4 linked regions of the Drosophila melanogaster genome follow. Changing the gene in region 3 together with the main gene of any one other region gives a genetic interaction. Each region holds a gene or a part of one and is shown on either strand. Other genes may lie near its edges. The genes, in order: gcm, Cenp-C, pim and CycB.

Region 1 (4,297 bases), 780 kb from region 3:
TGCTGATTTCCACTTGGCTCTAAGCTTAAATAATCTAATAAGAGAGTATTAATTATGCACTTCATTGTATTAGCAATAAGTACAGCTCAACTTACACCGCCCATTGGTATATCGCACCATTACTGACAATGCATTTGGTTCCCTGTTCCCTGTAGTAAGTCCATTTAAAGCTTCCAACGCTCTATCTGTGGTTATAATGTCGGCGTGTCCCCAAAGTGGATTATTTCGTTGTAGCCGTGATCCTGGGCTGATTGGATTCTGTCCATGATGCCTTACTGAGCGCATTGCATTATCACTTGGTGTACGGACTCTGAATTGCATTCTCCTTCTACGATTGCGTCGCCGCGATTTTACCCTAAGGTCTGGAGTTTCCCGATTCGTAATTCCAAGTGCCTGTCCAATCAAATGACGGCGCAAAAATAGCAAGTTAACTAGAGCTCTACGGCGACGCTTCTCAATACAAAATTTGGTTTTATTCATTGTTATTTGTTTAGGCCTTTATTTAGTACTCACAATTGCCATAGTTCGGTTATTTGCACTACATTTTCTAGGGCGACAAGCACCCATTGTTACACGATTTTGGTTGACTAACGAATTTAAACTTGTTGTTGAGGAAAATCCCTAGTTGTATATCCTGCCGCTGGTAATGTTATACTGACAATGATTACGAGCTCCCTTGCTTGACACGTGTCAATTCTCAAAAAAAGGCTGCTTCGATTAAGTTTTTCTTTCAAAAATGTTTATTACTACAAAAAAGTTCATAAATAGGTGGGAAATGTGACTTAAAACTCTATGTGCTTAAGAATACTATTACTCTTACGTGCTCTAAAACTTTGGAATAGCTGGGAAACAAGTACAAAAGTACAAACTAGAAACGTTCAATATATAATAATACACGACCAACAAGCAATGGGAACATGAATGGAAATCAATCAACTAGGGACTAGAACAACGCTTGAGTGGCTCAGTAATAGTAGTTGCGATGAGAGATCTTATCCCGATCCCCTAGCAATAGATGGGATCCGTGCTGTTGACTGGGTGATATGTCGCGTCCATTTGAATGTTCCACGAGTTGTCCACTCCCGTATTGCTGTAGTAGTAGTCGGCGGACTGCATCTGATCCTGCGGCTCCTGTTGATAATTGGTGAGATGCGGAAAAGTTCCCTGTTGCTGATGTTGCTGATAGGCGGTTGCTTCGTCGTAGATGAGATCCACGCCACTGGTCCCTCCGCCATTCAGAGTTGACTCAAACACACTGAAGATCTCCGAGCTGGTTGTGTAGAAACTTGCATCCTGGCTAAGATTCTGGCTTTGGCTTCCATTGCTCACGTCCAGCGAGTTGGGTAGATATCCATTGTAGTAGCCATAATCCTCGGAACAGTAGCCCGAGCTGCTGGTCAAACTGGACGTATCGTCGCATATTTCATACGAAGGCATTCCGCACTGAAGGCTGGAGGAGATTGGCTGGCTGGGATCATAGCTGACTGGTACATGTTGCTGCGGTGAGAGTTGCTGCTGGTATTGTGAGTGCTGCAGTTGCTGCGGTTTGTTCTCCTGGTAATAACTGCCCGTGGAGCTATGCGCTGAGAGAGGTGAGTGGAGCATATCGTAGGAGTACATTCCATTGGCATAGCATGGATCCTCCGTTTCGTAGTGAATCTCTCTATTCCACTGACTGATCACTGATCCTTGTCCTGCTGGGACATATGAACCCTGAGATTGATTAAAGTTGGTGCTATGTGTGGGCGTCGATGTGGGCAGGTAGGTGGTGGGTGGCACCACTAACTCCTGCTTGGTTTCGAGCACATCGGAAGCACCCATCCTTCTGCGCTTGCTCTCCTGGATGGACTGAGTCTTGGCCTGCCGTTTTGTGGGTCTCAGGCTACTCAGCTTGTCGCTCAGCGCCGATTCCCTGGCCAACATTACGGCCAAACTTCGCACACGTCTTCCTCCTGCCAAAAGTCGCCTGGCTTCCGTGGATCCCTTGGCTTCGGGTCTGGGGTGATCGTGGGTGCCCTTGGCCTGGAAATAGATTCCATTTCCGTCCCTGCGCCAGAAGTGGGTCACTGGATAGCCGCAGTGGCCGCGGCAAGCCTGGATTTCCAAGCGACCATTGCAATTTCTGTCAAGAAAAAAAAATAAAAATACCGAGTTAGTTTTGACAATTCTTGGATTTTGTGTTTAGTCAAAAACCCACCTATTGGGACACTGTTTGCCCTGCTGCTTCCTTCTGGCCTTGTCGCAAATGGCGGGTCTCAGATGCACACTGGCTCCATTGGGCAACTTGCACTTGGCACTGCAGAGGAGCACTCCCAGGCAGCTCTTCTTTAGGATATTCACGTTGTGGTTGTTGGTGTTTCGCATGGCCCAACCGCTGGCATGTTTCCTGGCCTCATCACTCTGCACGGAGTAGATGAGCCGGCAATGTCCGTTGGACCAGTCATTGAAATCGTCAAACTCCCCCACCGACGGCATCTTGGAATCGTTGATGTCCCAGTCGATCGCCACCCGGGACTTGGTGGCCGGAGGACTGGGCACAGGCATGGGCACTGGCATCGGTACTGGCATTGTTATAGGCATGCCGTTCAAAACCATTTTTGATGTGTCTATGTAATCGTTAGTTTCAAGTTCACACGCGGTCACTATAGTTTTCCTTCTCAATAGTCTATTACTACTGTGTACTTCTTCTCAACTTTTCTCTGGAGCGACGCGTCCGTTCGCATCGACTGCGCAAGGCTGACTAACTGGGCCCGCTCTGCGCAGCACAGTTAAGTTGCCAGCGGTCGAATCGCACGAGGGTTGCTCGGTCGCAAAGCGGTACGCCCATTGGTCCATGCTGACTTCCAGTTCGGGTGCGCTTGTGTGCGGCTTATCCGCCTTATCCGGCACTCCAGTTTGGGAAATTAGGAGAGTTCCCGAGCAGGTTTGATTGGTAGTAGTGGTAGCAGCAGCTGGAGATGGAGAATTCGTTCTATAGGGAACTGGGAGCTGGGAGAGCTTGAGCACAGGGAGCTGGGAGCTGGGAACTGGCAACTGGGCAGGGAGACGAGTGCTGTGCTGCTCTAGCACCTGCGGTTGCAGCACGCGCTCCACTGGGTAATTGTACGATATGAGAACCAGGGGTTTGAGGCACTCGATGGCAAAGAACACGGCCCCAACCCCAGTCAAAGCTAATTAAGTTCAGAAAAAAAGTTTACAACATCAGTAATGGAAATGGAGATGGGGATGGGGCTGTGTGTGGATGGGGATGTGCTGTATGGCATGGGTTCTGATGGGTACACCTGGCGACAGTCACTGGCAGATGCCAGTGGTCGGGCCTATTTACTTTCGAACTGGATGTGGATGTCGAAATGGGGAGCAAAGTGAAATGGTTGGAGGGCAAGCAGAGTTACGAACAAAATGGAGATGGTTCCAACGAAGCACGGAAAGTAATTTAGTTCAAGGCTTTAAGACTTTTTTAATGCGGACATTAAAGCTGCTAAATCTACTTAACTTCAGAGGTAGAAATTATTCTGTAAAAAAATTTCAAAATCAAACGTAAATTTTAATGGAAATGACTCACAGAAATATAGAAATATTACCACTATATATAGTCACTATTATAGAATTTGGTAAGGCAACGGTATAGCTAACGGAACTACTTCTCACGATCTCAAAATCGATAAAGAAATAAACGTTTGCAAAAAAAGAAACCGAAATGTCGAGCTCCTGCCGATATCTTCAAGATGAAATCAGGGATCTCATAATCGTAAAACACAATTTAGCACGCAAAAAAACGGAAATCAAAAAGAAGAAATCCCATATTGGAAAACCTCCCCTACAAACCCAAAGGCAAATGCCATAACTCACGCATATGAATGAAGCAAAGTTTGCCAAACAAATTCCTTGGGCCCCTTGGCGATCTCAAGTCAGAGATAAACGAAACAAACATAATCATTAAGATGACGAAAGGGTGAGGAAACTCCATAATTTTCACACTTCCACGACAGACCAAATGCCATGCAATTATGACACGAACTGAGCGAGCAACCCGCGGCGCCTTTCTGCCAAGGAGTCGCCCAAAGATCAGGATCGTAGCACGCGATAGGAACTCAAAGGATTACGGCGGACAATGGGAAAGGGTGCTCCGACCGGGACTCGAGGGGCGTTGACACAGAAGAAAGTCATGACGTGGCATATTATGAGGCTGTGCTGGGGAAGCACATCCTACCTGGTCCCAGATTCCCGCACTCAAGGTGGGTGTGTCGCCTTAATGATGCCCGGAATTAACTGTTCCGTTTCAATTACGAGACATCAC
Region 2 (7,451 bases), on a different chromosome or scaffold from region 3:
CTTCTCATGAACTGGAACAGGCATTGAACAGAAATTCGAATTAATTTTAAAGATGTGCATTTATTTGAGGGGTTATGAAACACTTCACAGAGGTCTCTGTAACTCACTCTCTTTTATTTGCCTTGGCATTGTGGTGGCTACGCCACGCACCTGAGCAATGGTACTTCGTACTGTCCTGGTGGCCAATTGCAACACAAAGGACATGTTGAAGGCGTTTTTTATTTACAATTTATTAAAATTGTGCTCAAGTGTAATGTTGTTACTACAAATGTCATTCACCACGAAAGCCGCAGCGTTGCCACATCAATTGATTTAAATATTACTTCTCAAAAAAAATTATCGATGTCAGTATTTAAATAACGATATCTGTTTTTATTTTTATTGCAAGCACAAATTTGTCATTCGAGAATTTTTCATGTAAATACGTAAAAAAAATAGAGAAAAATGCCTGCCTAACGAATAAAACTTTGTTTAGTCGTTACATACTGGAATATCCCTTGTATTATCAAATATCAGTTTCGATAGTTCGATAATTCACTACACGTATAAGAAAGACGCCGGCTGGAAGAAAAAGTAATATGTGTAAGCAAATGCAAGGAAATTACGGCCAACAAAAACTAAACTCTGAACCTTTGCAGCCGCTTCAGTGAGCAGTAAGAGCACCGTGGTATCCTCCATCATCTCGGGCCTCCTGAGCATTGTTTTGTTCGGCACACTGCGTTTCTGCTCAGAATGGTTTAACGACTCGCAGCTGAGGGTCCTTTTGGGCGGATACCTCTTCTCCTGGGTGTTCATCCTGAGCCTCACGTGCGTCTCCAACGCGGAGATGGTTGTTTTCGGCCAGGACTTCCAGGCCAAGCTGCTACCAGAGATTATTTTCTGTCTCTCACTCACGGTGGCCGCCGCGGGACTCGTGCATCGTGTCTGCGCCACCACCAGTGTTCTCTTTTCCCTGGTGGGGCTCTACTTCCTTAACAGGATCTCCACGAAGTATTACTCCGTTCAGGTGCCCAGCGTGGATGCTCCTACGACGAGAAAGGGCGGAAAGAAGTTCAAATGAACCATTCGTCTGCTTCTTATTTCATTACTAACACATTCGAATACCTAATCTTTAATAACCTTTAATAAATAACTAACTTATAAAGTCATGTCAATCGGTCACTTTGAAGCTATCCAAGCTCCATTATTACAGTTGGCCAGCCTTATACTACTGAGTATTGGTGCTGTGGAATAGGGGATCTTATTGGGAATTCATGAATTCAGTTAAAAAACTCCAATCTCTGGTTATATGGATATCGTAATCCTTTTCCAACAGAATCAAAACCTCGAACGCAAAGTCGTTTTCACAGCGTCTCTATTGCATGCCTTCTCGCAGAAAATGTATAGCTCCACTTTTTGGTTGCTTTTCAAAGCTGCTTCCAGTTGTTATAAAGTGAATTCGAACAAATAGATCAATCTGAAAAGTCGGTTTAGTTTGCTTTAAACATTTTGGATTTGTTTTGTCAACAAAAATTGCCGGCAAAGTGTGACCAGCTTGCGTTTTACGCGTTTAGTATATTTTAGTAATGAAATACTGCATATAATGGTTGCCTGCTGGTCAACGCTTTCGAGTATATTTTCAATAAAAACTTTTGAAATAAACTCAGCTGTATTTAACAATAACTGTTTAAAAACGATTGCATCATGCATTTGTAATTATACAGGGTGATGTCTTATTATTATCAAAGAAACTTTTAGATATTTATAGCTCTTTTCTGATAGTCTATTCGAGCGCTCTGGCAACACCCCACCTAGGCGCGCCTACAGACGTTACTGGCAACGCCAAATGAATAGCGTCGCGTCTTTTTTGTAGTTTAAAATTTTGTGGAGTTTTAGCGAAATAAGTTAAGTTTATTGTTGTCGTGTATGTAACTTCGTGAAGAATCCTTTTTTCAAGTTTCAATTGCAAATATGTAAGTTGCCACCGCGAGCATGCCATAGGCAAGAGAACATACAAACTCCGAGCTCACCCGTCTGTTTTTCAGGTCGAAGCCCCAGAACAACGACACTCTGGAGCTGGACGACATCCTAAGCCAGCCAGTGAAGGACAAGGAGCGCTTCGCCGCCTTTATGATGCGCAAGCTTGCCGAAAATAAGCCGGCACAGAATGACAATCTCTTTGGAAACTTCAAACTTGACTTTGACCTTGATTTCGAGGTTCCACTGATCAAGAAGTCTCAGGCTAAGCCCAAGTCCAAACTACCAGAAGTACAGCCCCTTGGGGAGTTGGTCAGCAAAAACAGTGCCGCCACCGAGAAAGTCAATGAGCCGCCTGTGGACCAGGCCCCCAATGAGAACGTGCCTCCGCGTCGATCGCCAACATTGTCGCCCAATAACCGACGTTCCATGCGCCGCAGTGGAAATGTACCCGGATCTGATAAACTACGTCGACATGCCATCCGCCGGCGGTCCAGGAGCTGTGGACGCCAATTGCTTCCAGAGTTTGAGGAGACCGTAAACTTGACCCGCAGCATATCAAGTCCTGTAAACTTCGTATGTTAAATACATGTCCCACAAATACCTAATCCTTGTACTAACAACAATGCTCTTTTAGTTACCAGAAATAAGCAGCACACCTTGCACAGAGAAACAAAAAGAGGAAGTTGCCAAAAATACAACAAGAGTGGAAACTGATAAACCAGCGGAAAAACCTATGGAACTATCACAAGAACCAGAGCCGGAAAATCCGCTGCAGACAAAGGTGACCTCACCTGCCAGGAACCCTATTCTTGCAGCTGAAATTGAACAAATCTGCAAAGAGCGACAGAGTTCCTTTCACAAGAATGTACTGCAGCTGGACTATTCTGGACGGGCACCGTACTCGCGACCCCCTACTCCGTCATCACCATCCGTTGCGGGCCTACGACGTACCTACACAATGGAAAAGGGCCCAGCTCCAGGCCAGCTGCTGCTATCGCCATCACATCGCTATGACACACCGAGCAAAATGCCAGTAGTTAAGGCAAAGCGGTTCAATCAGGAGTTAATGGTCCCGGACACGCCAGAGCGACAAAGTCACGACCCAGCCTGGCAATCAGAGCCCCAACCGGAGTTCGTAGTGCCGGAAACCCAGCCGCAGGATCTGGGAGAGTTGGTGCAGACTCTGTCGCGCAGCGCGATCAGCCCAATTGTGGTGATAAACACATCCAATTCGAATCGTAGTGTAAGAAGGGACGCTGTCGCAATGAAATCTGTTCCGACTTCGCCAGTTACGGCGTTATCTTCACCACCGATTGCGCCTTCTCCTAGGCGATCCGCCGCTGCCTCTCCCCAGAAATCCATTGCACAACTGCCGCGGGTGGAAGAAAATATGGATGCCATAATGACCGACGACGAAAGCGACGAACATCCCAGCACTGTGCCATTAAATCTAGCTCCTTCAGGTGGGAACACAACCCGGCAACGGCGTTTGCGCAGTAGTAATCGGGCTCGAGCTACAATCGAATCTCAGGAGAGCTCTATGCGCTTGCTTAACCTTCACAAGTCGGTCAATGCCAAAAAGTCAAAGCCGCGAAAGACTGCTATACCGCTGAATAAGGCTCCAAGTGCCCCCATTAATGGCGAGCAGTTTGCCCGCGAGCTAACCCGGATGAGCAACTACGAGATTTTGGATTTGCGCAAGCGCAACTCGTTGAACGAGATATATCCTTTAAATGGGCACAGAAACCATCGTTCAGAGAAGCTTATCCTAGAAGAAGAGATTCAGAGGGAGCTGCTACGTAGAAATCTAATGGATGAGGCCGAAGGTTTGCCAAAACAACAGTCCTCGGATGATTCGAATGAAGACTATATACCGGTTCCGCCAAAAACACAAAGTCTTCGAACTAAAAGCAATGATCGATCGCAGGGACGAGGGCGACCACGATCTACTCGTCGTGATCTTCCAATGGTAAGTTCAAGATCGCTTATATGTTGCGAAGGAAAAAAAAAACCTTTTTTCCCCGTTTTGCAGACAACAGAATTGGTAAACTATTTGGGTCTCTCCCAGACTTTAGAGACTCGACGCAAATCTTCAAAGGACGGCAAGCGTTGTCTGTACACAAAGGGTAGCTCGGACCATGAAGATAACGATTCATTATCACCTGTAAAATTGCCAAGACTAAGCAAGAGCATCCAAATTGTTCCGCCACCTCCAGTTTCACTGCGCTATTCGCAATCTTTGCAAAATCTGCCCTGCTCCGGAAAATTTGATTTCGATAATGTCGTGATGGCAGCCCCACCAGATTTCCATGATAGTGTAAATAGTGATGCAATTGAGATTGCTCCCCCGCCTCCAGAGTACGTTGTAAATACACGGGGCAGAAGCACAAGTGGGCGAAAGAGCAATAAAAATGACCTGGTTTTACCTCCACCGGGGTACGAAGGGGGCCAGGAAGAAGAACATGATGAGCGACCAAGCCAGCCGCGTTGCACAGCCAAAGAACTTCAACAATCCACTCAGAATGGACGAAGGGCGATGGAGAACGAACTGGTACCACCTCCTATCGAATATGTTGAAGAAGAGAATCGCAACAATGAGCAATCAAGGAGATCGACGAAAAATGGCAATCTTGTTGATCGAAATACACATAACGCAGTAGAATATTGTGAACCGCCAGAGCCACCAGAGTACGACGATAGTGACCATGGGCAAGCAAGTATACTGAGGAGAAGTGGAAAAAAATTGCAGCACTCCAAACAGAGTGTACAAAAGTCCAATAAGGAACAAATTATTGCACCTTCGTACGAAAATAACGAAGACTATGACAGTGACGAGGAACCAATTTACAATGAAGAATACGGAAAAGAGGAATCTCAAAATAAAAATGTCACTAGAAGAAAGAGCGATAAGGATGAAATGGCATCACATACATTAGAATGTATTGAAGGTCCAGATCCAAATTGGAATTCGTCCTGTAACAAACAGAATCGTAATCACCAGAACGCATCAAAAAGCAAAGAAAATGATAAGTTAGCCAATCGTTCATCTAAGTCCCAGAAACTCTCAAATCCCCGCCAGAATGCAGTTGGTACAGAAAAATCCGTAGCTCTAAGCAATCGAGGGGAAGAATGTACCGAGAAATCATCAGACGTTATGGAATCACTTCGCGTTAACACACCCACTCCTCCGATTGATCAAAACTCAGATGATGTTCCCAGCAGAAATCCATCTCCCAGTAGGACTCTTTTGTCTGACGACGTACCCAGCACGAGTAGAGCGGCGTTGGAGTTTTTGCAGCGTAGTCAGAACATGTCAAAGAGTCGTCCCCCGGATGAATCAAGCGCGGATGTGGTGTTCAAGAAACCATTGGCACCTGCACCAAGGGCGAAATCAAAAAAAGGGAAGTCTGAAGTAGACAAATTAAAGCTGGCCAAAATGCCGGTGGAAGCTGAGGAACTAAATACTAGTGAGTATATTCAATAATAAATGTTTTGATAAAATTAAATGTATGCTCTATTATTTTCTGCTCCCTTAGCCGGTATTCGGAGATCAAAGCGCGGTCAAGTTCCACTTCAGATGAGTTGGTGTCACACCATGGATCCTAGCAAGTTTAACTTTATGAGTGGCTTCATAGAGCCTCGCAGCAAAAACTCAAAGACGAAAAAGGGAAATTTGAGTAAGGCGAAGAAAGCCAGTGCCACAAAGCCAAAGCCTACTGTAGAGAAGAACTTACCCGACAACCGGGGACCATTGTGCAGCAGTACCCCAAGAATTTCTGAAAAGCTGCCAGGGGCCATACCGCATTCCGAATCCCTTGGCCTGAGTACCTTGACGTGGGAAGAAACTGAAGTGCAAGCAGAGGCTGAGAAGGTGCCCAAGAAAAGGGGACGACCAAAGAAGGCAGTTGGAGGTGTCCAAACTGATACGGAGGCTGAGCCAGAACCAGAGCCAGAGCCTATGATATCTTCGGTTGCTCCACTTACAAGCGATCAGGAAGAGCCTGACGTTCCTGACGAGCAGGCGCCTTATACGGAAGCTGCGCTAGGTCCCGTCGTATTTTCAACTCCCCTGAGAGACGAGCAGGAAGAAGCCTCCACTAAACTGATGCAGTGGCTGCGTGGCGTCGGCGATGCACCACCCAGTGCAAGTATGTCGGATGAAAACGCCAGTGTCTGTAAGTGTAAAATCTATAGAAATTGAATCCATATAGCTTATTTATTAATAATTGCTATTTTTCATTGCCAGCTTCTGCAAACGAATTGATTTTCTGTCAGGTAGATGGTATCGACTACGCTTTCTACAATACAAAGGAGAAAGCAATGCTGGGTTATATGCGATTCAAGCCATACCAAAAACGTAGCATGAAACAAGCGAAAGTCCATCCACTTGTAAGTAAAATATAAGATTATTCCCATTCAACTCGCAGATCATTTTAAAACCTATTCTGCTTTTAGAAACTCCTTGTGCAATTTGGCGAATTTAATGTGGAGACCTTAGCCGTGGGCGAAGAGAAGGAAGTCCATTCTGTTCTGCGTGTTGGTGACATGATCGAGATAGATAGGGGTAAGATATTGCTGAATAATATTTATTATATATTATTTGAATGTTTCTTTTCTTCCTTAGGCACTAGGTATAGTATTCAAAATGCGATAGATAAAGTCAGTGTGCTGATGTGTATACGCAGTTAGTAATTGCTTTGTAATTTATATACGGATAAGTATTGAGCCGATTTATATTTCTTACGTTTTCGCCACAGAAAATAAAAATAATAAAGAGTTGTTTTGTTAAAATATGTAAGACCGACATAGTTTTTTCATGTATTTTAAGTAGCAAAGGTGATAGACCCACGCCATAACTTCGGGTCATATCCTAGCTGCTTAGAATTTCAAGTTCATTTTATTTCCATTTTCTTTGAAATTCACAAGTCGCTCGCCGTGATGTTGATGGCATTGGAGACTTCAAAAGCGAAATGGCAAACAGGGGTAACAACGCCAGAAAGAACAAATAAGCAGGCAACTTTCAAAACAATCTGCACGTCTGCTTTGTATGGCAATTTTTAAAAAAGCACACACACAAATCACACGCAGCAGGAACACAAACATAAATTTGTAAAAAAAAAAAAAACAAAACAAAAATTGAATCAACAGAAACTTTTCCGGCAGGTGTGCCAGTGCCTGCATCCCCACACGGGACTTGGAACATCGTTTAAAATTAACAAAACACCATCTAACATTCATTACAGCAGTGTCAACCCTTTGATCATCCCACACGCCGCACTCTATTACGAGTTTCCCGGAAAATACCTTGCAAATAAAAGGAATTAATAGAACGATTTTATATATAGATAATCTTATATATATTCTTTAGTTCACTTGATTGGTTTAAAATATGTTAATGGGAAGCTAAAAAACTAAATATTTTATATTCACATGCTTGCACATGTTCTCGGTTCACATATTTTCGCCGAGTGTGCACAGACAATTGAATCGGA
Region 3 (3,442 bases):
TTTGTTAGATTTATACCTCTTTTGCATTTACATTTCGTTTTATACACTCATATTGTTAATTTTCACTTTTATTTTATCCAGGAGAACGGACCACTAAGGTCACCAGCGAGACGAGAAACCTTTCTGCAGCAATGTAAAAAAAACTGGATACATTACTGTGCCGCAGTGTTGCCAACTGTTGGCCACCAGAAAAAAGCCAGACGTCATTTAGCGGGAAAAGGCTAACAAGATGCAAACAAAAGCTAGCTAGCTGGGAAAATATTTTGGTTTACTGAACAAAAATGTTTAATTCCCAAATAAATATAAACTTTTCATATTAGGCAAACACAGAGGAAACCCTAAAAATAGATTAGAATTATTCCACCAAATATCAAATTCAATATAAACGGAGTGAATATACTTAAGCCCCGCGAATGCTGATAAATATCAAGAGACAAAAGGTGGAAGCAATAAACTCTGTTTACATTCACAACTGAACTCCAAAGCTCCATAAATTAATCTCCCAGTTAGTTTTTATAGTTGCTTTAATTCAAAATCACTTCCAAACGAGGTACATCGTACACATATAATTGCCTGTTGGAGGCTTAATGTCGGTTCTTAAACTACTAAATATATTGTAGCGTAAAAAAAATATTTTTCACAAATGTGATTCGAGACAACAAACTTGGATAGCTAATGGTATAACAGTTTCTCTTAGCATAACATTAATAAATAATTAATTAGTAGTACAAAGATACCTAGCTAAAAAATATTAAACTACAATTAATCATAGAACTTTTAAACAAGGATCTAAAATAGAACATCAATGCCTTCCAAGTTAGGCAATGGGGGATATAAATTTAATAAGTATTCAGGCTCTGCAGGCTCCATGTTTTCTGTGTTGTATATGTATGGCAGGTCAGTAAAATCTAGGGGCGGAAGGCATCTGTTTTCCAAATTATTTTCCAATGTGCGCAGATCAAGATAAAGTTGATCCAATAGTCCTTCATAGCCCTCTTGATTTTCCGACCAGGTCTCTGTGACCGCTGTAATAATACAACTTATAGTACAATTTTCAAGGGGAGTTGTTTAATATGAGCGGTACTTACGCTTGCTGCAGTTCTTCAAACATTTCTCGTTCGGAAAGTCAGTGTAGTTGAACAAATTGACGACTCTGTATTCGCAATTCAATACGTAGGCGCCCAAAAAGCAGCTATTTGTTTTATACCTAACTTCCTCGCGATCCCTGCTGACCACATTTTGTTTGGGGGCCTTTCGCAGCGAAAGCTTGGCAATACTACCCTCGAGTTTCAGAGAAGTGCTTTTGAACGGGGTTATTCCAGGAGTTTGGTGCATCACATTGTCAAGGTTACCAAGAGGTTTCTTCAATACGGAATTTGTAGGAACTCCATTTTTAATGGGATTCGCTGGCACTGCAATGATAAATGGCTATGTAATTACTAACACGAACGGGAGTCGAACCTAATTCAACTTACAATTAATGCCGGTGTTTTCCTTGTTTAAAATCTGATCCATTTTGTTAGCATTTATTGGTGTTAAAAAGGTATTTTGATTGAATTCTAGCAGTGAGCTGCGGTTTAGTTTAAAATAATTCCTGAAAACGAGCGGCACTTTTCTAGAGATGGGAGACTCTTAGTGCCACATAGCTGATATATCGTTCATCTGAAACGATGGTAATGACACAAAGTATTTTACTAGTAAATAAATTGGGAATTAATATTTGATAATATATATATTTATATTTTGATTGTCATGTATTAACTCAAAAATAAAATAACCTAAATATAAAAATTTACTAGTACATAAAATCTTGTTCCAAAATATTTCTCCACCGTATTTTATACCACGAAAATGTACCAAAACCATTATCGGCATCCAAAAGGCATTAGGGATTATAAAGTGGGTTTTTTAGTTTTTCAAAGTGGGCCCACTTAAGCAGCCTTTATAACAAAATTGAGTGAATATAAAACTTGGAGATTCAATACCGGAAAAATTTCAGTAAATTTTCAAGTTTTAGAACACCAAAAATAGGGCAGCCCAATACAAATACACAATATTTCACTTATCAGTTAATTGCTATCGATCGAACGTTTCAAAGCCTTCGCTATGGCGTCACATCAGTACCACCAAATTGCCAATTTGCTGGAAAAAGTATGTATAGAATTTCATTTTTGCAACATAACGAAATTCTAATTCCGCTCTCTCGTCTGCTGCAGATGACGTCGACGGACAAGGACTTCCGTTTCATGGCGACAAACGATCTGATGACGGAGCTACAGAAGGATAGCATCATCCTGGACGACGAGTCCGAGAAAAAGGTGGTGCGAATGGTGCTCAAGCTGCTGGAAGACAAGAACGGCGAAGTTCAGAACCTGGCTGTCAAGTGCCTGGGTCCCCTGGTCAACAAGGTGAAGGAGATCCAGGTGGAGACCATCGTGGACTCGCTGTGCGCCAACATGATGTCCAACACGGAGCAGCTGCGCGACATATCGAGTATTGGCCTAAAGACAGTGATTGCCGAGCTGCCGCAGTCCTCAAACTCCCTGGCCCCAAATGTCTGTCAAAGGATCACCGGCAAACTGAGCACAGCAATTGAGAAGGTGCGTTATATTGCTATTCCCTAGGCACCCAAACGTTTAATCCGTTGTTCCTTAATAGGAGGACGTCTCTGTGAAACTGGAGTCGCTGGACATTCTGGCCGATCTGCTCTCTCGCTTCGGGGAGTTCCTCGTTCCCTTCCACAGCACCATTCTGAAAGCTCTGATGCCCCAGTTGGCCTCATCGCGCCAGGCTGTTCGCAAGCGTACCATCGTGGCCCTGTCATTTCTGCTGATCCAGGCCAATAGCAACGCCTACAACGGTGTCATCGATCATCTGCTCGATGGCCTAGAGAACCCACCAAATCCAGCTGCCATTCGAACTTACATTCAGTGCCTGGCTTCGATATGGTAAGTTCCAATTCCTGAAATTGTTATATATTTTATGCCATATGATCTTTAGATGCAATTTTATTTAACTTTACTCTTTAGTCGACAGGCTGGCCATCGACTTTGCAATCACATTGATCGCTCCATGCTCCTGCTGAGCCAGTACAGCCAGCGGGATGACGATGAGCTGCGCGAGTTTTGTCTGCAGGCCTGCGAAGCTTTCGTCATGCGCTGCCCAGATGCCATAAACCCGCATATTCCCATGGTAAGGAGTACACATGCTTTATGTTCTCATTCACGTTTAATAGCTTATGGGTTTTGTTAGATCCTGGAGCTGTGCCTCAACTATATCACCTACGATCCAAACTACAACTACGAGACGGATGATGGCGACACTGGCAATGCCATGGACACGGAGGATGATGAGTACGTCGATAGTGAGGAGTACAGTGACGACGACGACATGAGCTGGAAGGTTCGTCGCGCTGCAGCCAAGTGTCTGGAGGTCTTGATAT
Region 4 (5,543 bases), on a different chromosome or scaffold from region 3:
TACGGGGCTCCAACTTTTACGGCTGTTAATTCAAATGTTTATGCACTAATTAATTGCCCAGGCATTGCATTACGAGTCATTTGTTGTGGGCCACTTTTTTTTTTTTTTTGCACTCTATCTTATTTATGTTTCGTTTTATTTTAGTGGCTGGTGTACTTTAGTTTGTTGCCTAAGTTCTTCCTTATGGATCGACACTCGAGATAAGACCAAATGGTGCTTGAAAAATGCTATTTTAGCTCCAGCTCCAGTTCTGAATTGCCAATATATTGTACATATAATGCCAGTCTTTTGTCATTTAAACGCACTTGATTTTATTTAAACGCCAGCGCACAATTAAGCAGCCAGCAACAAACACACACGGCATATAGATCATCGGCTCTGGAGCATAACGATCTTCTGGTTTTATGTCCATAGCCGAAAAGCACTTTATATGTATATTTTTTAACTAAAAATCGCTAAATCACGCCGAAATCTGACCGCTTTGGGGCATTTAAAATTTGAAACGATTTACTGGAGGTCAATGCGCGTTGGATCGATCGAAGGACTTTTTTCGTGGCGACGAAAGAGACGGCGACAGAAGCGCAGAAAGAGGCGGCGAGAGCGAGGCAACCACTCGCGACGGCGGCACTTTTGCGAATGAAATGTGAAAATCACGGAAAACTCGAGCTCGCGATCGTCGGCTGGCGCTCCATTCTCGTTCGGCTTTTTGGCCGGAGTTCGCAAAAGTACTTTTGGAGCGCAAACAGACTCATAAATATATGCTAATGAGCCAGAGCGCCGGAAGAAGAGAAGAAGAATGCGCCAACCGTTAAGACGCAGCAAAGGGCCACAAAAAAAAAACAGGAGAGTTTGGGGTACTAAACAAAAACAGAGGCAAAATTCTGAGGCGATGGCGATTGTTTTGTGGTCAAGTGCTTGAAAATGATGGAGCAGACGAAAACTTGACACTGATCATCAGCAAAAAAGGCTGCGGAGTGGCAAGAATTATGCTGCATTTCCGCCGCGGAGTTTCGATGTTCTGCGGCCTGTGGCAGCAGGAAATCTTAAATCAGCGAATGCAAATCAGGGGGGCACAAAAACAAACCGAACACAGCCAATTGAAGTGATCAACTTTTAATTGATGCAATCAATGGATGGTGCAACCGAGTGACGACTGGCAGTCAAAGCGATGGCTTTATTAAAATGGGGAACCTTAACCAACTATCAAATTTAATCCATGAAGTTTTCATTTTTAAAATATGTATAAAATGGATTGAGCTTGAATATCTAACAGAAATTTCAAACTGTAACGTTTTCTTTTTCGGCTAATTTTAAATTTAAATTTGAAATTTATGGGTAGCACTGTTTCAGCCCTGTCATCGATAAGCTGTGCACCAGTACTGGTCACACTAAAACTATCGAAAATTATCGCACGTATCGCATCTCTATTTTGCATGCTCTGCTCTAATAAATCGATTATTCTCGAGCGCCACTGCGGCTTAAAAGGGAACTAAGTCCAGAAATCGATATCGTCAAACTCATCGGCATTTATCATCGAGTTTACTTCCATCCCCATTCCCATTTTCAAATTCAAACGGCAGCTTGGCCTCGCTTCGTGTGCAAAAACTCGATCAGGTTTTCGGAGAATTGACAATCCCGCACTCGACTTGTAAATTATAAACTATTAGTAATCATATATTCGGACAACAAATTCAACAGCTAAACAAGCGTTCGGTCACAGAAACGCGATCAAAAGTCAACCAAACCAAGTGATAGCCAAGCGTCTGCCTATCTTCGTGTTAATTGTGTTTGTACAGATAGAAAAGAAGCAATCAAAATGGTGGGCACAACACTGAAAATGCGTGGCGATGAGGTGAGTTGATCCCTAGAACATTAAGATTACCGTGGCATCCGCGAAAAGGTCATGGTAAAGTCACAAACTAGTGGGCTCGTCATCAGCGAGACGCCATTGCAGCGTGGTCATGTAGAGAGGGGCAAAGAGGACGCTGCGATAGTGCGATGAGTGTGTGAAGGGAGGGGGAAAAGAAAGAGTGCCGTTTGTCCCGGGCGCTCATTGTTGTCGTTGTTGCAGTTGCCTTGCTCACATTTTGGCGCAATTTTCTACCGGCGGTGCTTGCACCGTTAATTAGTACTCTCCACACCTATTTTTCGCACCAAATCACAGAGGAGATAAATCGAGGATCAGTCTTGCGGTGCTTTTCCCAAAATGGCCGCCCTTGAAAAGGTGCATTTCATGATCAAGTCATTATTATGCAACAAACTGATCTTGCTTTAACAATTTAAAATAATTAAAATCAGTGCTCAATAATTAAAGATGTTAAAGAATAGGGTTCAAAGTGCAGATATGCATTCAACTATACTTGTTGCACTTCTCCATTTGTTTTCTAAAACTAATTAAACAATATTCGATAGAACGCTTCGGAGAACTTCAAGCAAGTGCAATTGAAGAAATTGACGGTTCCTTCCATGGAGGCAACAACAAAACGCGCGGCCTTGGGCGATTTGCAGAATCGCGGCATAAGTCGTCCCATCGCAGCGAAGGATGCGGCACAGAAAGAGTAAGTGTTTGAACCAGTATCAAGTATTCCATTCGCAATCACATGTGGTTACTCCACCGAGCAGCTCCAAGGATCTCAAGCTCACAGACGCCCTGCGCAATGCCAAAGCTCGGGTGGACAGCCACTGGAAGAAACAGCCACTGGGCAGCACCAATGGCAATGGCAATGGCGCCGTTCCGCCCAAGGTCAACGAGGGGGGCGTGTCGGCGTTTTTGCGTTCGAATTCGGTGCGCAATCGCGTTCCGACCAAGACCACTGTAGAACCCACTAAAGGTAAGCAAAAGAGCAATCATCTACCAATCATCATCATCTACCATTTCCAATTTTTGAATGGCTTGCATCATACTGACCCCAATTCATCTTGAATCCCCAAAGTTACAGTCAAGTCCAGTTCTTCCGAGAACGTGAACGAGCCCACCTTAAAGCGCGAGGACAGCAATCTGTCGAAGAAGTCGCTGACCAAACTGCGTGCCGCTTTGGCCAAACCCGTGATGGGAGTTTCAGGAATTCGACGGGAACCAGTAGCTGTTTCCCGCAAAGAGGCAGAGACCAAGAAGGAACTGCCAGAAACCAAGAAGGACTCACTGGAAGTGAAAAAGGATGCGACCAGGATGCCCCTTATTAGGGGCAACAGTGCAGTCACTACGACCACATCTACGATGCCCACCACCATGTCCCTTTCCAGCAAGCGCTTGGCTGGAATCGAGGACATTGATGCCAATGACAAGGAGAACCTGGTACTGGTCTCCGAATATGTAAACGACATCTACGACTACTTGTATCAGGTGGAGCTGGAGCAGCCCATTCACAAGGATCACCTGGCCGGACAGAAGGAGGTGTCCCACAAGATGCGAGCCGTGCTGATCGATTGGATCAACGAAGTCCACCTGCAGTTCCATCTGGCTGCAGAGACCTTCCAGCTGGCGGTGGCTATCATTGATCGCTACCTGCAGGTGGTCAAGGACACCAAACGCACGTACTTGCAATTGGTGGGAGTGACAGCACTCTTCATAGCCACCAAGTACGAGGAGCTGTTCCCGCCGGCAATCGGAGATTTCGTCTTCATCACGGACGACACCTACACTGCCCGGCAGATCCGACAGATGGAGCTGCAAATCTTCAAGGCCATCGACTGTAATCTGTCGCGTCCGCTGCCGATTCACTTCCTTCGACGCTACTCGAAGGCTGCTGGCGCCGAGGACGAGCACCATACGATGTCCAAGTACTTCATCGAGTTAGCTTCCGTGGACTACGAAATGGCCACTTACAGGCCATCGGAGGTGGGTTTCAATACACTATCCCCTTTTATTTAGCATAGGTATATGTAATATTTTTTGCGGCGCCTTTAGATTGCAGCTGCCTCACTGTTCCTGTCGCTGCACTTGCTCAATGGAAACCACCGGGCCGGTACAGGATTCAACGACCGTCACTGGACGCCCACTCTGACCTTCTACTCGCGATACTCGGCCGCGCACTTGCGTCCGATTACCCGGCTGATCGCGAAACTGGCCCGGGACGCTCCTCAGGCCAAGCTGAAGGCCATCTACAACAAGTACCAGGGCAGCAAGTTCCAGAAGATCGCGCTGCGAACGGAGCTGACCGGTGCGCTGATGGACTCGATTGTGGGCCAGAGCCAGAGGAAATAGTGCGGTCCAAGGCGGACTGGAAGACCCTGACTTACCTAGTTTAGTTTAATTTGTTTTCATTTTTAAATTTGTAGCGTATTTCATTTTCTGTTCGTTTCGTGTTCGTTAAAAAATGCGTATAGTTACCGTAGTCGCATTGCCAACTATCTTTACCTGCATCACCCATCCCTAAGATATCGTAATCTGCTGGAGTCCCTTGAGCAGTTTTCGGCTACTGCCAAGAGCTGGCTCCGGCATCTTTGCCCACGGAGCACAAGTTGCTCGCGAGCCGGCCGCTGGGAGTGAGTTCCTCCGGTAAGACTAGGAACCGAACTAAACTGGAGCCCGTCAGCTCCTTTCGCTGGGTCACCATCTCAGTGGGAGCGAGCGGCGGAGCGGTGGACACCGAGAGAGAGAGTGGGCAACGAGTTCATTTGCTGGCCGAACACATCGGCGTTGTCTCTCCAAGAATTATATTTTATAATTGTACCCGTGAAATCATTTCATCCCCTACCTACCTATCACTAATTGTATTTGTCGTTAGTTTTTAGTTTCGATGGGAATGAATAAATCCAAAAAATTGTGCAAAATTATTCCCATAAATCGCATAAAAAAGAGACGTAGACTATTTGTAATTTATATCATGTATTTCGCACATTCATACAAAAACAACTTATGCTAGTTATATTGTTTACCACTAAGCAACGATTAAAACACGTTTTAACTAACTGATGTTTCCCAAAAATGTCTCTGAACAATACATAGAAAATAAAGTTTTGTATAATTTTATAAACAATATTCGTGTTTACCTTGCATGCAATGTGCCGCCATGTGACTTCATTAGTTTTGAAATCTTTCCGACAGCTGATAAGTGTGAGAAATTTTCCACACCCCTAAAAAAACCAGACAGCCTGAGATGAACGCAGACCCTTTTCCAAGGACGGAGGTCCTTTTGTCCTGCATTCTTATCAATCCTGAATACACAATATATGTACAGTGATATACCTCTGTATACCCTGCACCTATGTACATACATACAAACATATGTATAGTCGGCGCCCCTGGGGAAGGTCACCTTCCCGATCGCAGGTCAGTTACTTCTCTTCCGCTTCTCCCTTTCCTTCTTCCCTTTTTAACGCTTTTCTCTCCCTTTTTTTGGTACCGTGTTCCATGGGCAACGGTAATTGCCGAGCACATTGCTCGCACATGGTTGTGCGTGTGTGTGTGTGGGTGTCTATCTCACTTTTCTCATGTACAGTAGTTACTCGATACAAAGCCAAATAAAGGCAACCTTATAGTTAAGTTCTTAAGAAACATATAAGCGAATTATCGAACGAATATTTCAAATAGTTTTCGTTAG

Evidence for each region.
Region 1: of pim (region 3) and gcm, changing one suppresses a phenotype caused by changing the other (phenotypic suppression), as found in Drosophila melanogaster (one study listed by BioGRID).
Region 2: of pim (region 3) and Cenp-C, changing one enhances a phenotype caused by changing the other (phenotypic enhancement), as found in Drosophila melanogaster (one study listed by BioGRID).
Region 4: of pim (region 3) and CycB, changing one suppresses a phenotype caused by changing the other (phenotypic suppression), as found in Drosophila melanogaster (one study listed by BioGRID).

Annotation. Positions count from the first base shown.
Region 1 is NT_033779.5:9,578,998-9,583,294, forward strand, and holds gcm (glial cells missing), read right to left. Parts: upstream 2,749-4,297; 5' UTR 2,596-2,748; coding exon 2,198-2,595; intron 2,123-2,197; coding exon 1,006-2,122; 3' UTR 568-1,005; coding exon of another isoform or gene 514-567; 3' UTR 501-513; downstream 1-500. Other genes in the region: CG31709 (uncharacterized protein), read right to left, coding at 1-34, 96-450, 514-567. UniProt on the Drosophila melanogaster protein: Transcription factor that induces gliogenesis. It determines the choice between glial and neuronal fates. Also has a role in the differentiation of the plasmatocyte/macrophage lineage of hemocytes.
Region 2 is NT_033777.3:8,562,305-8,569,755, forward strand, and holds Cenp-C (centromeric protein-C), read left to right. Parts: upstream 1-1,800; 5' UTR 1,801-1,950; coding exon 1,951-1,952; intron 1,953-2,024; coding exon 2,025-2,532; intron 2,533-2,593; coding exon 2,594-3,928; intron 3,929-3,991; coding exon 3,992-5,426; intron 5,427-5,495; coding exon 5,496-6,134; intron 6,135-6,205; coding exon 6,206-6,348; intron 6,349-6,414; coding exon 6,415-6,523; intron 6,524-6,583; coding exon 6,584-6,648; 3' UTR 6,649-6,944; downstream 6,945-7,451. Other genes in the region: mRpS18A (mitochondrial ribosomal protein S18A), read right to left, coding at 1-11, 108-204; CG31460 (uncharacterized protein), read left to right, coding at 579-582, 639-1,060.
Region 3 is NT_033779.5:10,361,172-10,364,613, reverse strand, and holds pim (pimples), read right to left. Parts: upstream 1,626-3,442; 5' UTR 1,516-1,625; coding exon 1,476-1,515; intron 1,413-1,475; coding exon 1,089-1,412; intron 1,026-1,088; coding exon 790-1,025; 3' UTR 522-789; downstream 1-521. Other genes in the region: Cand1 (Cullin-associated and neddylation-dissociated 1), read left to right, coding at 2,107-2,151, 2,217-2,600, 2,659-2,948, 3,030-3,192, 3,253-3,442.
Region 4 is NT_033778.4:22,802,955-22,808,497, reverse strand, and holds CycB (cyclin B), read left to right. Parts: upstream 1-1,549; 5' UTR 1,550-1,816; coding exon 1,817-1,852; intron 1,853-1,998; exon of another isoform or gene 1,999-2,206; coding exon of another isoform or gene 2,207-2,224; exon of another isoform or gene 2,225-2,412; coding exon 2,413-2,558; intron 2,559-2,622; coding exon 2,623-2,831; intron 2,832-2,933; coding exon 2,934-3,838; intron 3,839-3,907; coding exon 3,908-4,204; 3' UTR 4,205-4,977; downstream 4,978-5,543. UniProt on the Drosophila melanogaster protein: Essential for the control of the cell cycle at the G2/M (mitosis) transition.